Drosophila melanogaster: one gene and its partners. The protein of the gene in region 3 purifies or fractionates together with the protein of the main gene of each other region. This does not show direct contact. Each region holds a gene or a part of one and is shown on either strand. Other genes may lie near its edges.

Region 1 (3,840 bases), on a different chromosome or scaffold from region 3:
GCAGGAGGAGATTATTGGCAACGTGATGAAGCCGGGCGGCGAGACGCTCGACCAGCTGTTCGAGACCACCTGCTACAAGCTGGGCAAGTACTTGCAGGAGATCGGGCTGGTGGGCAAGTCGTTCAGCGAGTACAAGGAACTGGTCAGCCAGGGCTACCGCTTCTGTCCGCACCACGTCTCCCACTACCTTGGGATGGACGTGCACGACACACCGCACGTGCCACGCAACACACGCATCGTGCCCGGCATGGTCTTCACCGTTGAGCCGGGCATCTACATTGGCCAGGATTGCGGCGACGTGCCGCCCGAGTTCCGGGGCATCGGCATCCGCATCGAAGACGATCTGCTCATCAACGAGAACGGCCACGTGGAAGTTCTAACTGAGGCGTGCGTCAAGGATCCACGCGCCCTGCAGGAGCTTTGCAAACAGCAACAGAAGAACCCCGGTGCCTCATCCGCGGAGGCGTTTTAAGAGCTCACAACGAAAACCAAATTCCTAGTCATAAGCCTTTCATTCTCCCGACAACCTTATGAGCTGATTTGGGTCCTAAAGTAAAGGCAGATGCTGTATTTATAAATGCACACATGGCAAATACATTTTAAATTCTGTCAGATTGCAGATTACATATTACAGGTTACCGATCACAGCTTGGCGAACACTGGCTTATCGTCCTTCGTCAACTGGGCGGCCACAGCCTGGGCGAAGTCCTCCGACAGCAGGTTGAGCTTGTTCAGCAGGAGCTGCAAGGTGTGAGGCGTGAGGCGTGGTTAGCTCGTGCAAATTCGTTGAGATATTAGGATACCCACAATGTGATCCAAGCCCTCTTGATTGGTGTGCTCCAGGGAGTACACGAGGCTCTCCTTGGTTGTCTTTACGGCGACGGGACTCTTGCTAGCGATGAGCTCGGCCACGGCCAGGGCTCCGGTCAGCAGGGAATCCTTGTCTGGGAAGAGGCGACTCACCAGGCCCGAGGAGTGGGCCTCGGCGGCCTCGAATTTGCGCCCAGTGAAGCACAGCTCGCGGGCGAGGGACTGACTGCCCACTGCCTTGGGCAGACGCTGCAGGGTGCCCACGTCGGCGGCCATGCCGATGTCCACCTCCTTGACCTGGAAAAAGGCGTCCTCGGTGCAGTAGCGAATGTCGGCGGCGGTAATCAGGTCCACGCCGGCGCCGATGCACGCCTTGTGCACCGCCGTGATGACCGGCTTGGGGCAGTGCTCCAGGCTGCTGATTGAGTCCTGGTACACCTTGATCATTCGCTCCATGGAGACGCCCTTGCGGGCGTAGTCATCGGTCTCGGCCAGCGTTTGGCCCACGTTTATCATGTCGTTGAGGTCGATGCCGGCGGTGAAGTGCTTTCCGGAGGCGGACAAAACGATAGCCCGGCAGTCGGGATTAGTGGCCAGTCCGTCGAAGCACTCCTTGATCTCCCTGGAAATGGGTAACGCAGTTTGGGTTAGCAGTCTGCGGAACAGGAAACGGGAAGCTATTGGATAACCCACAGCCACATCTGCTTGCTTATGGCGTTGAACTTGCTGGGCCGATGGAGCTCCACATGAAAGACGAACGGCTTGGGCGAACTGACGGCCAGCGTCTTGAAAGAGCCGGTGGGTCCGGATTCCGGGAGGGCGGAAAGGTTTCTCTGCATCTTAAGGGATCCGATGGCTGACGGGAAGTGCAATTGATTGGACTTTTAAAACGATGAAGAGACAAAGGTTCAATCACCGGTGTTCGGACTTTGAACCGAACCCAAATTTCGAACGCAGAAGGCTGGATGTCGGATTATCGAAGTCCCCGATACTTACCCGTGGGCTTGGGCGTTAGTTTCATCAGAGTGTTCAGGCGGGAGAGCGACATAATAAACCTTCTTTTCACTGGTTTCAAATCAAATCTACTTGTTGCGGCAGCTAAATTTGTTTTGTTTGCTTAACGATACGTAGCAGTGCTGCCACCCGGCAGAAATATTCAAAATAAGGCGGGCTCTCGGCTTATCAAAGCTACTGGATATATTTCACTAGCAGATTTTCAATGGATTTTTCTGGCTGCATAAGGACACAGTTGTTGCAATAAATGGGTTGTAGGTAAAATCAAGTCGTTGCGGCAGAAATTTGTTCGGCTACTATATCAATACGGTGTTTTGCTGCCACCCGGCTGGAGGATTCTAACTTAAAAAGTTTTGCATCAAATTCGCGTCAATGCGAATGTGTATTATTATTTATTTTTTCGTTGTTTAGAGGAGTATTCCAAAAAATAAAAATGCTAGAATGTTCAGATAAGAATTATCCAACTATATATGTACGACTTAAGTTTATAGGACTCAAGAAAGTATATAAAATGCGCAATCGAAAAATCAGGTTCACCATTCTTTGGAGAATATTTCCACTCGCAGAGCCTGTTCCTAATTGCACGCTAGCCCATCTTAAGGGACATTTCTTGTGCCTTGCTTACCTAAACCGAATTAGGTAATGATCCTGGAAAAATGCAGTGGGAGGAGCTTAAAGCATTTAAAAATGCCGCCTGGAATTCACCTCAAAATACGAAAAAAAATTAATAAGTACATAAAAAACGATGCCATGTTCCATTTTCTTCCGTTCCGACATAGCCGCTAACTCATCGACGCTAACTTGACGCACATAACAAGACGCACATAAAATTGCCATGAACAGATATTATTCTCGAATCTATCGATGTATCGTCCCAGCTTCCATCACTTCTCAAAGTTATCGAAAATTTGAGTTCTGCTTGCCACAATCTAAAAATCAGAAAATCATAAAGGTGCATAGTCTCGAAGCAGAAGCTCACAGGTCAGAGAAGAAATTTTCGGAATAAAAAAATAAATATAACAAGTTTTCAAAAATAACTCCGCACCAAACCCATTTAACCAAATCAAAAGCTTAAAGCAGTGAATAGTGTTATTTTTAAAAATTTAGCACAAATAAAAAGTTCGGGAATTCAACGCTTTTTGGTAAGTTTTCATAATGAAATAGCATTGTGCAATGAATTGTAACACAAATACATATATCTACTTGAAAAGGCATTAATTAGAACCCCTATACACATACTTTGAAAATAAAGGACTGCAACTTTCATTCAATTCGCATTTGCCCCAGGTTACGGCAATTTTCGAGGAAATTCGTAGAAACAGAAATAAAACCGAGAGTTTGACGCTTGCCAACTCTGGCAGTAGGGTTGCCCCTAAGCGTTTTTCCAACTGTTTAATTATTTGTGCAGGACTTTACATTGAATTGGCACACGTGTTTTTTGAGACAGCCACAAAACAAAATCTTCAACTGAAACCCGCCATGTTTTTGTTATGCTAGCCGAATGTATATAAATCAAAGAAGCGTTTCCGACCCCATAAACCTTACAAACTATATATATATATATGTTATACATATATTCTTGATCATTTGCTTAATAATATTCCCGATTTGCTTGTGTGAATCTCAAACTGTTGCCGCCAACTTCTTGGTATTAAGGGACACGTGCTTCACTTGTCAACAGAAGCTAACTGGCAAATTGTGTTCAGATTAGACTCTTAGAAACCCATTAAGAGTTAAAAAAAATCAATCGATGGGAATTTATAGAAACAGAATCGTCTCCGACCCTATAAACCCTACAGACTATATGTGCATATTTGTATATTCTTCATCATTGGCTAAATAAAATTCCCGATTTGTTTGTGTGAATCTCAAACTGTTGCCGCCAAAATGCTCAACTTCTTGGTATTAAGGGACATGTGCTTCACTTGTCAACAGAAACTAACTGGCAAATTGTGTTCAGATTAGACTTTTAGAAGCCCATTAAGAGTTAAAATAAATCAATCGTTGGGAATTTAT
Region 2 (4,586 bases), on a different chromosome or scaffold from region 3:
TCAACTGCTCCCCTTTTTCTGTAGTCATTTTACGCTTCCAAAATTTGCAATTGAGATGGTCGATAACAACCTTCGATAGACACTTAGTTGGGAAATATGCGGTCAATCGGTAGCAAACAATCGATATTAATATCAATGGAATGGTCACTCTGTTTTTGCAAAACGTAAATAAAAAACAAATTGAATTGATAACAAAAATGGTTTGCGAGAAGTGCGAGGCCAAGCTCTCCAAAGTTTCAGCGCCCAATCCCTGGCGAACGAGCACAGCTCCTGCGGGAGGACGTAAAATCAACGAGAACAAGGCTTTATCCTCGGCCCGCGAGCGATACAATCCCATAGGGACTGCTTTACCACCTTGCCGGTAGGGAAATCTCCTCAAGAATTCATCTGCATATCTTAATCTGATTTTTAATTATCCAGAATCTGCCGACAGAAAGTGCACCAGATGGGTTCGCACTATTGCCAGGCGTGCGCCTACAAAAAGGCCATATGCGCCATGTGCGGCAAGAAGATCATGAACACCAAGAACTACAAGCAGAGCTCAACGTGATGCAGTTTATCAAAGGATGCACTTAAGACTAAACTAACCATAGACAACAGAATAATTATAACCTATAGTACAACAAATGCCTTACTAATCAGTTCTCGGATGGCGTCTTTTCCCGTTTTCGCTTGGCATTTTGGATCTGGGTTGAGTAGCTCAAGCCGTCTTTGTCGAATTCCAGTGGCATGATGCCCAGGTCGCCGGAATAACGATTCTTGGCAATTTGGAGATACTTCTTGCCCCGCACAGAAGTCAGCCTCTTGTCTTGAATGATCAACACGTTGTCCGCTTCTTGGGTGGCCTTTGCTGTGCCGAAAACCGAGCTGGTGGTCAGCTCGTCCTCCTGCCGCTCCTTGCGCGGATGCATTACGAGTGTCACGTGTACATTGTGCTTGGTGGCAAAGGAGCGAAAGGCAGCTATAATAGAGTCCTGTTCAAAGAACTTGTCGCCTCGAAATGTGGACACGCCCATCATAAATTGCAGATTGTCAATGATCACGTGCATCACATCGTGCACATACGACGCATGCTCGATGGCTTCCAGAACCGGCTTAAGGGGCTGCTGTCCGTGGAAGGTCATAAAGTATAGCGGCAAACGCTCAAACTCCGCTGCCCAGTGGTTAAACTCATGCAACCGGTCGTCCAACGGGTAGCCCACATACTGGCGAAGCAAGGTGGCCGCCAGCCGGGTGTTTCGGATCTCAAAAGAGCCCCACAGCGTGTTTACGCCCTGCATGGCCAGATCCAGAGAGTACTCGCTCATAAAGGTTGTCTTTCCACTACCCGTGGGTCCTGTGAGGATTGTCAACTCTCCCCTCCGATGGCCTTTGAGCAGCTTATTCAGTACTGGAAAGCGCTTCCACTTTACTCCATTGACTTTCTCGATGTTTTGCAACTCGCTGAGAATGTCATTTCGCATTGCTCCGAATGTTGTGATGGCCTTGTGCTGCACCGGTGTCGCTTTGGCCAGGATGTGGCGCAGATTGAGTCGTCGGCGCAGAGCCAAATGTGGCGCAGGTTCCGTCTCAGTAGGTCGGATTAACAGGCATCGCCTTTCGTCCAACTTTAACGCAAAAGCTCTAGCTGCATCCCAGCTGTGACTGGCATCGTAGTGCAACCAAAAGATGAGCTCTTTGAAGCGTTCCAAGGCGGGCAGACACTCTTGTGGTAGAGTCTTCAGTTCGTAGGGCAGGCATACAACGCAATCTAGGAGACAATTTAATTTTTAAATTAAATTATATCTTAAATGTGTACTAGCTGAGCCAAACTGGTTTCCAAATTATTTTTAATTGATATCTTAAATATATCACCCTAGGATTTCTTCACTATTCTGCAACCAATGAAAAATATTCCTAAAAGCTATGTTTTCACTTACGCGTTTCAATGTTCTGTGTGGCAAGGACAATAAAGTCAATTAGATTGCTGACTAGAACCGCTTTGGTTTTGTTCATCGCACCGTGAATCAGCAGCCCGGAGCTGGAGCTGCTCTGGAAGATCTCCTCCCGTCGATCGCCCAGATATAACACCTTTTCGCCAACCTCCACTTGCGCGGCATTGCGTAACTTAAAGTGGAGCAGCTGTTGCTGCGGCTCCCACTGTGCTCCTATGGCATTTAGTTGGTCCTCCTTCAAGCCCTTGATTCCCAAAGCTGCACAGGCCTCGGGAGTAACCACGGCCAGGTGGGGAAATCGGGATTCATAGACCGGCTGCCTCTGCAGCGGTTGCTTATAGCCAACCGGCTTGGGCAACTGATAGGATAATAAAGCGCTGGTCAGTGAGGTTTTTACGTCGCAATTGGGGCAGATAAAGGCTCCTAAAGGAAAATTGAATATACTACGGTTTTTTTTGCGAAATGTAATTGGTGCTCTCACCCGTCCGCTTGTTTACGTAAGCCAGCAGCCCATGATCGGTGCCCTTTTGGGCGTTTGTCACCGGCTGCCTATTGCGATCGCAGAGGCGACACTCCAGCTGCAAGCACGTGTGTCCGTCTTTGTGGGGCAAGTTGAGCTGCCGCAGCTGCCGCTTGAAGTCCACATACTCCTTGGGGTCTAGTGAGCACTCCTCCAAGCCGGAAACCACTTGGGTAGCGTAGTTTTTTCTCCAAACACGTTGTTTTTCGTTATTTATACGCAACAGCGGTTTGATTAAACCGGCGCGTCTCATTTTCCATGTTATCGATATCGAAAGTGAGGGGTGGAAAATAGGGATGACAATTGGGCGCGCAATTTTGAAGATTTGTTTACCTACTATTAATCATTCAAATATCTTTGTACTCTCTCAGTGCTCTGGGAAGCGCTCTATTTAATACTAGGAAATCTCATTAAATTACTTTCGTAAAGTGCGCTTACAATTGTGCTAAATTGTTCGATAAATACCAGTTTAGTTAAGCACGGTAAATTCAAATTATAAAGCATTATCTATCTATAACTTTGTTCTAAGGTCAATACTTTATTTGTACAACTGATTAAACAAATTGCGGCTCTTTTCCACCATCCCAATAACAATAAAAAATATATACAATTCGTGATTATTTGATTTTATTAGTTTATTTATTTTAGTATTTGAAGATGTCCAATTCTTTTTATATCAAGATCTTTTACACAAGGCAACGTCACTCTGCAATTAAAGTAAAATATAAAATATATTAAATACATCATCTCAAGACAGCCGAAATATATATATTTGTATTAGTCAGACGCCTTAGACCATCCTTAAGCCGAAGCTTTCTGGTGGAAACCGCAAAAGGTGTTTAAGGTAATCATCAGTTTATTTATTAATTTAAAAAAAAAAATTCTCGAAAATATTACCTTATACAGTCGAATAAACGAGCTCATTTAGTTATATTTGCCTGCGATAAACCACATTTCTGAGTTGATCTGGAAACAAGAGATAAAATAGGTAAGTAAAATGCTAGTTTAAGTATAATAAAGTTTTTATTGAAACTTTTTAGTCAGACGCCTTAGACCATCATTAAGCCGAAGCTTTCTGGTGGAAACCGCAAAAGGTGTTGAAGTTAATCATCAGTAAAACGTATATTGCATTCAAACATAAAAATGTTAGTGTAAATAAATTACCTTTATCGGTAAATCCATGTGCTCGCTGCTGCAGCTGGACCCATACATAACCTCAAACCAGAATGTAAATTCTGGAAATAAAAGAAAATGGCATCAATACAGTGTGTACAAGGAGTACTTCCAAATATTTTATATATTTGATTAGGTTTCAGTTTACAATTTTCTGCACGGTTATGAGCTCAGTACAGGTCTGTGTAAAAGATCATCAGAGAAGCATAGACCAACCAAAAGTATTAATATCTTACCTCCAATGTGACAATGGCGTCTCCAGTGGGCTCAGTGCCCAAGGTGTCTCAACGGGCTCACATGTTGTCCCGAGGTGTCTCACATGCACCATGCACGTGGAGTGCCCGGATTTCGATTTATCCAAATGCTTAGGGTTTCAATATTGTTCACTGCAAGAAATACAGAACTTTTAGAACATATTCTTGCCAAACCCAAAGAAAGTTCTTGAAGTTATATGCCATCAGATCGCCGAATCATCTTAAATGAACAAATATATAACGAGGCACTGAAAAATACAGCGCCAAGTCGAGAATTTGTTCCTTCAGTCTCGTCATCTGTTTCATCATTTGAGGCATAACACTCTTCCATTTAAGCACTTTAATTCACTTGATATAAAACTATTTACGAAGAGCACACAACTTACCATTTCGAGTCTTGAAATAAAATGAACGAGTTTCGTCATCGCACGTGGAAGGAAAAATTCTGTGAAAAGATGGCGGCCAACTATCGATGTCTCTGAATGCAACCATGGTAGTATCGTATCGGAAAAATTGTTTGGTTTTTGCCTGATATATATTGTATAAGAATGTGCAATAATTAACTTAACCGAATAAATGATATTCCATTTAATTTTCATTAAATCATTCATAAAATACTTAATATATGAAAAACTTTCATATTTATATGTTAATTCGATGTATCGATTGCCTATCGCTGTCTTCGGTGATCTAGCCCAAACAGCT
Region 3 (4,064 bases):
GACGAGCAGTTCAACGACGAGAAGGCCTATCTGATCAAGCAGATAAAGGAGCTGAAGCCGCTGCCCGAGGCTTAGTTGGACCTCCACCTCGGCTCCAACTTCAGCTCCAACTCCAGCTCCAGCGTCCCGGGGGCAAAAGGACCGTAGCCAGAAGCCAGAAGCGATCGATACGGAAGCAGAGAGAGCGATGGTGGGTTAGCAGGATGTGAACATGTTTTGTGTGTGGGTTAAAGCAAATATATATTATATACTATATTTTGTGACGCTGATGACTCTACACTTGTGAGTAACTAAACAATAATTTAGACAACAACAAAAACAACACTGATGATGATAATGATAAAAATAACGATAAAGCGAATTAGAAAACAAGAAAAAGTACGAGTAAATAGCGTAACGCCGAAAAATAAAACTGTACCGAGAGTTTCGAATTTAACATAGCCACATTTAGACATTCTGGGCCTAGAGATCCGCTATCCTATTATACAGATATGTTTAACCATTCGTCGATCCTCCGCGAAGTAATCCCCCTTCCTTTCCAGACCCTTTTTTTCGATATCCATTTAACTAGTTGTTGTATTTAAAATTTGATCGTTTTTGAAACGAGATATCCCTTCACCGCCTTGACCTGCCACGCCCCTTTTGCGCCCCAAAAAAAAAAAACTGAAGATTCACAATGAGTTTTGACTTAAAAATGTAATTCCACGCAAAATTCATGAAAAGAACGAAAACTAAATACTGCATAAAAATAATAATAATTCATAGTGATAATTGTCTGTGCATCCTTCGGCATGGACTCTACTATATATACACTGATATATATATATAGAAAGAGCAAGAGAAAGAAAAAGAGAGAGAAAGCATTCAACACACACACACACTACACACATGCATACGTACATAGTTAAAAGGGAAGTAAAACAAGAAACAACAACATTGCAAGCAACATAATAACTATACGATTATTATAATTTATATTATTCCCAAATTAAAGATAACAGCCAAACAAATCAGCAGTTTTTCCACTGTGGGCGGTGGTTTTCTCAGGGGGCGTGCAGCTCCCCCCTGAGTCATGTGCAAAAAATCGTGCCAGGGCGGCAACCTCACCCAAAAAACGTCGATCAAGGGCTGGGGAGATGATTCACACGCTGGGAATGCCACCGAAACCAAAAGAGATTTCAAATCACGTTTCAAGGTGTGCCTAAATGAGTAAATGAGTCCATTCCAGGACTCAGCCTGCTGTAGGAATCCCATGAAGGAGTTTTCAAATGTGTGCAGGCTTCTACTTTAATCGTTGTCGACTAGGTTTTATTACAATTATCTTAATAAATGAATTCGAGAGTTCTTAGGCTAGCTACATATGTATATATTAAGGATGGCTACATCTATCGTCGCTTCTTCTTCTCCAGCTTACGAATCTTGTGCAGGCGCGTCCGGACCGGCTCGCCCTCCCGCTCCGTCACTTCGCCGGACTCCGGATTACTTTGGCCATCCGGGTTATTCTCCATCAATACTGCGGCCGAAATGCAAACGAACTGGAAGAGAGCACCCACATAAAGCCCGTATCGGATTAGCAAGCTGAAGATGTCCTCGTCGCCGTACTTGTCCAGGGCTGCGGCGGCGCCCAGACTGTCCGCGGAAGCCGACATCGCTGCGCTGGTATTGTTTATAAACAAAACCCGCGAGGATTAGACAAAAAAAAATAACAACTACAAAAAGTTTGTTTTTTGTATTGGGTAGAGATGGTACCCTGAACCAACAGTTCAGGTGGAAACTATCGATAACTTTTTTAGGTCAAAGTTTTAAGGTTGTTAGCTCATTAACGGCAAGTATTTAAAGGCTTGCACAAAATCTTCGCTTGATTTTATTTAAATTCAATTACCTGGATTATTAAATACATTTTATAAAGTTTAACACTAGTGAAATAAATATCCCATCCCCAACACATTCTTCAGGGTTACCGTTTAAGGTATGTTCAAAACTTTATGGTATATTCCGGAGCCCTACAAAAGTCTTGGTATTTTTTCACACTGGTCTCATAGTCGCGGCTGATAAGTCGCTAATTTTTGCATAATATTAAGTATAAGTCAAAACAAACGTGCGAATTATGTCATGTATTCGGCTAGCGTCTGCCACCGTTCTGGCAGGGGTCCGTCCCCCGCCGGCAGCAAGCGGAGGTGGAGCCTTGCGCCTGTTGACTAAACGGAATCCGGATGCTGCATTCGCACGCCGCCAGTTTGCTGTAGCGGTTGAAAACGGCGGAGGCAGAAAGAAGCCGAATGGAACTTTCAAGCTCGCAGTTTTGGGGGCCACCGTAGGCGCGGCCACCGGATCGGTGTATACGATGTACCAGCGGTGGACAGACGGCAGCTCGCACAAAGAGCACGAGGAGACGAAGCCGACGCGGCTGGACGGGATTCCGGCTGGAGTGCGGATAACCAAGCGCTATGTCAACCCCAAGGACACGTCCGGTTTGGACATTGTGCTGTTCCAGTTCCAGACGTGTCCCTTCTGTTGCAAGGTGCGCGCTTTCCTCGACTACATGGGCATATCCTATGCGGTGGTCGAAGTGGATGCCGTCCTACGGCAGGACATCCGCTGGTCGTCGGTGAAGAAGGTGCCGATGGTGCTCATCCGACAGCAGGACGGCAAATACGTCCAGATGGTGGACTCAAGTGCCATCATATCCCTTATAGCCACCCACCTGCAGGACAAGCGCACCGACATCGGCGAGCTGGCACAGTTCTATCCGCACACCTCCTTCTTCGACGATGATGGCAAAAAGAAGAACGACATATTGAATAAATACTTCCTCATGTACCGCGAGCATACGCCCAAGGGAGTATCCAAGGAAACGGATGAGTAAGTTAACCAGGGTCAAGTAATCTTTTAATCAAATCTTTTAACCTTGAGTGTCTGTTCTTAGAACCGATCGCAAGTGGAGAAGCTGGGCCGACAGCCACTTGGTGCATCTAATATCGCCCAACTGTTATCAGACCATGGGCGAGTCCCTAGAGACTTTTGAGTGGTTCTCGCAAGCTGGCGAGTGGGACGTTCACTTCCCCAAATGGGAGCGCGACCTGATGGTTTACTGTGGTGCCACCGCCATGTGGGCCATAGCCAAGATGCTGAAGCGCCGTCACGCCCTCAGCGACGACGTCAGGTCGCACATGTACGATGCCCTTGACCAGTGGACCACTGAGCTGAAAAAGAGGAACACGAAATTCATGGGCGGAAAACAGCCAAGTCTGGCTGATCTATCGGTTTTCGGCGTGCTTTCAAGCATGGAGGGGTGTCAGACGTTCAAGGATTGTCTGCAAAACACCAGCATCGGTAAATAAGGTTTCTTTCTCGGGTTTTGTACCTTTTTACGAACTTTTTACATATTTCCGCAGGTAAATGGTTTTATGACGTCAAGGCGTTGGTGGAGAAGAATCGTGGGCAGTTGCAAAGAGAACGTATTGAAAACATGGCCGCTATAGCTTAAAACAAATATTTGCCCTTATTTTATCCAAAGATTGTTGAAAATAACCGAAATGTTCATTAAAATATACATTTTAATCAAATCTAGTTTGCCGTTTCGTTTATGGTATCTGAATGTATATATTTGGTCAAAAACGCGTAAGGAGTGCAAGTTTATGGTACAAATTGGAATTAATTTTAGGTTTTATATTGTTATTTTATTTATATGTTAAATTAAAAATGTTTACTAAATAAATACCTCCTGCTAATAAAAATATCCCAAACCGACGTATGTATACCTATCGATAACGTTTAAGCAGGCTGGATCCGATGCTCAACAACGGTCACATTGATTTTGTGATTTTGGTTAGCCGCTTGCAAACTTGCAAATCATTTCGTTGGTTTTTTACTTGGCGAGTTAATTGGTGAATTTCAGCACAAAACATGAGCAGATTGGGCTTTGAGCAATTCCCGGACTACCAGGTGCCCGGCATGAAGCATCCTGATTTCTCGCCCTACGAGTCCAATGGCGGGTGAGTTGCTATTTCCCAGCGGAATCGAGATGTGGAAGAATGTCTCCATCTAACCGGAGTCTTCCCTGT

Evidence for each region.
Region 1: the proteins of Su(P) (region 3) and CG9577 purify together in Drosophila melanogaster (affinity purification with mass spectrometry, with the first as the bait; one large-scale study listed by BioGRID). This does not show direct contact.
Region 2: the proteins of Su(P) (region 3) and mtDNA-helicase purify together in Drosophila melanogaster (affinity purification with mass spectrometry, with the first as the bait; one large-scale study listed by BioGRID). This does not show direct contact.

Annotation. Positions count from the first base shown.
Region 1 is NC_004354.4:20,164,783-20,168,622, reverse strand, and holds CG9577 (uncharacterized protein), read right to left. Parts: upstream 1,951-3,840; 5' UTR 1,859-1,950; coding exon 1,807-1,858; intron 1,667-1,806; coding exon 1,504-1,666; intron 1,433-1,503; coding exon 808-1,432; intron 742-807; coding exon 643-741; 3' UTR 543-642; downstream 1-542. Other genes in the region: CG9581 (uncharacterized protein), read left to right, coding at 1-472.
Region 2 is NT_033779.5:9,890,713-9,895,298, forward strand, and holds mtDNA-helicase (mitochondrial DNA helicase), read right to left. Parts: upstream 2,735-4,586; 5' UTR 2,708-2,734; coding exon 2,416-2,707; intron 2,358-2,415; coding exon 1,920-2,357; intron 1,751-1,919; coding exon 639-1,750; 3' UTR 551-638; downstream 1-550. Other genes in the region: CG34183 (uncharacterized protein), read right to left, coding at 1-28; CG4537 (uncharacterized protein), read left to right, coding at 198-361, 421-550.
Region 3 is NT_037436.4:16,610,161-16,614,224, reverse strand, and holds Su(P) (suppressor of ref(2)P sterility), read left to right. Parts: upstream 1-2,025; 5' UTR 2,026-2,107; coding exon 2,108-2,862; intron 2,863-2,926; coding exon 2,927-3,333; intron 3,334-3,395; coding exon 3,396-3,487; 3' UTR 3,488-3,563; downstream 3,564-4,064. Other genes in the region: Mo25, read left to right, coding at 1-75; CG4101 (uncharacterized protein), read right to left, coding at 1,386-1,649; Prosbeta6 (proteasome beta6 subunit), read left to right, coding at 3,907-3,995.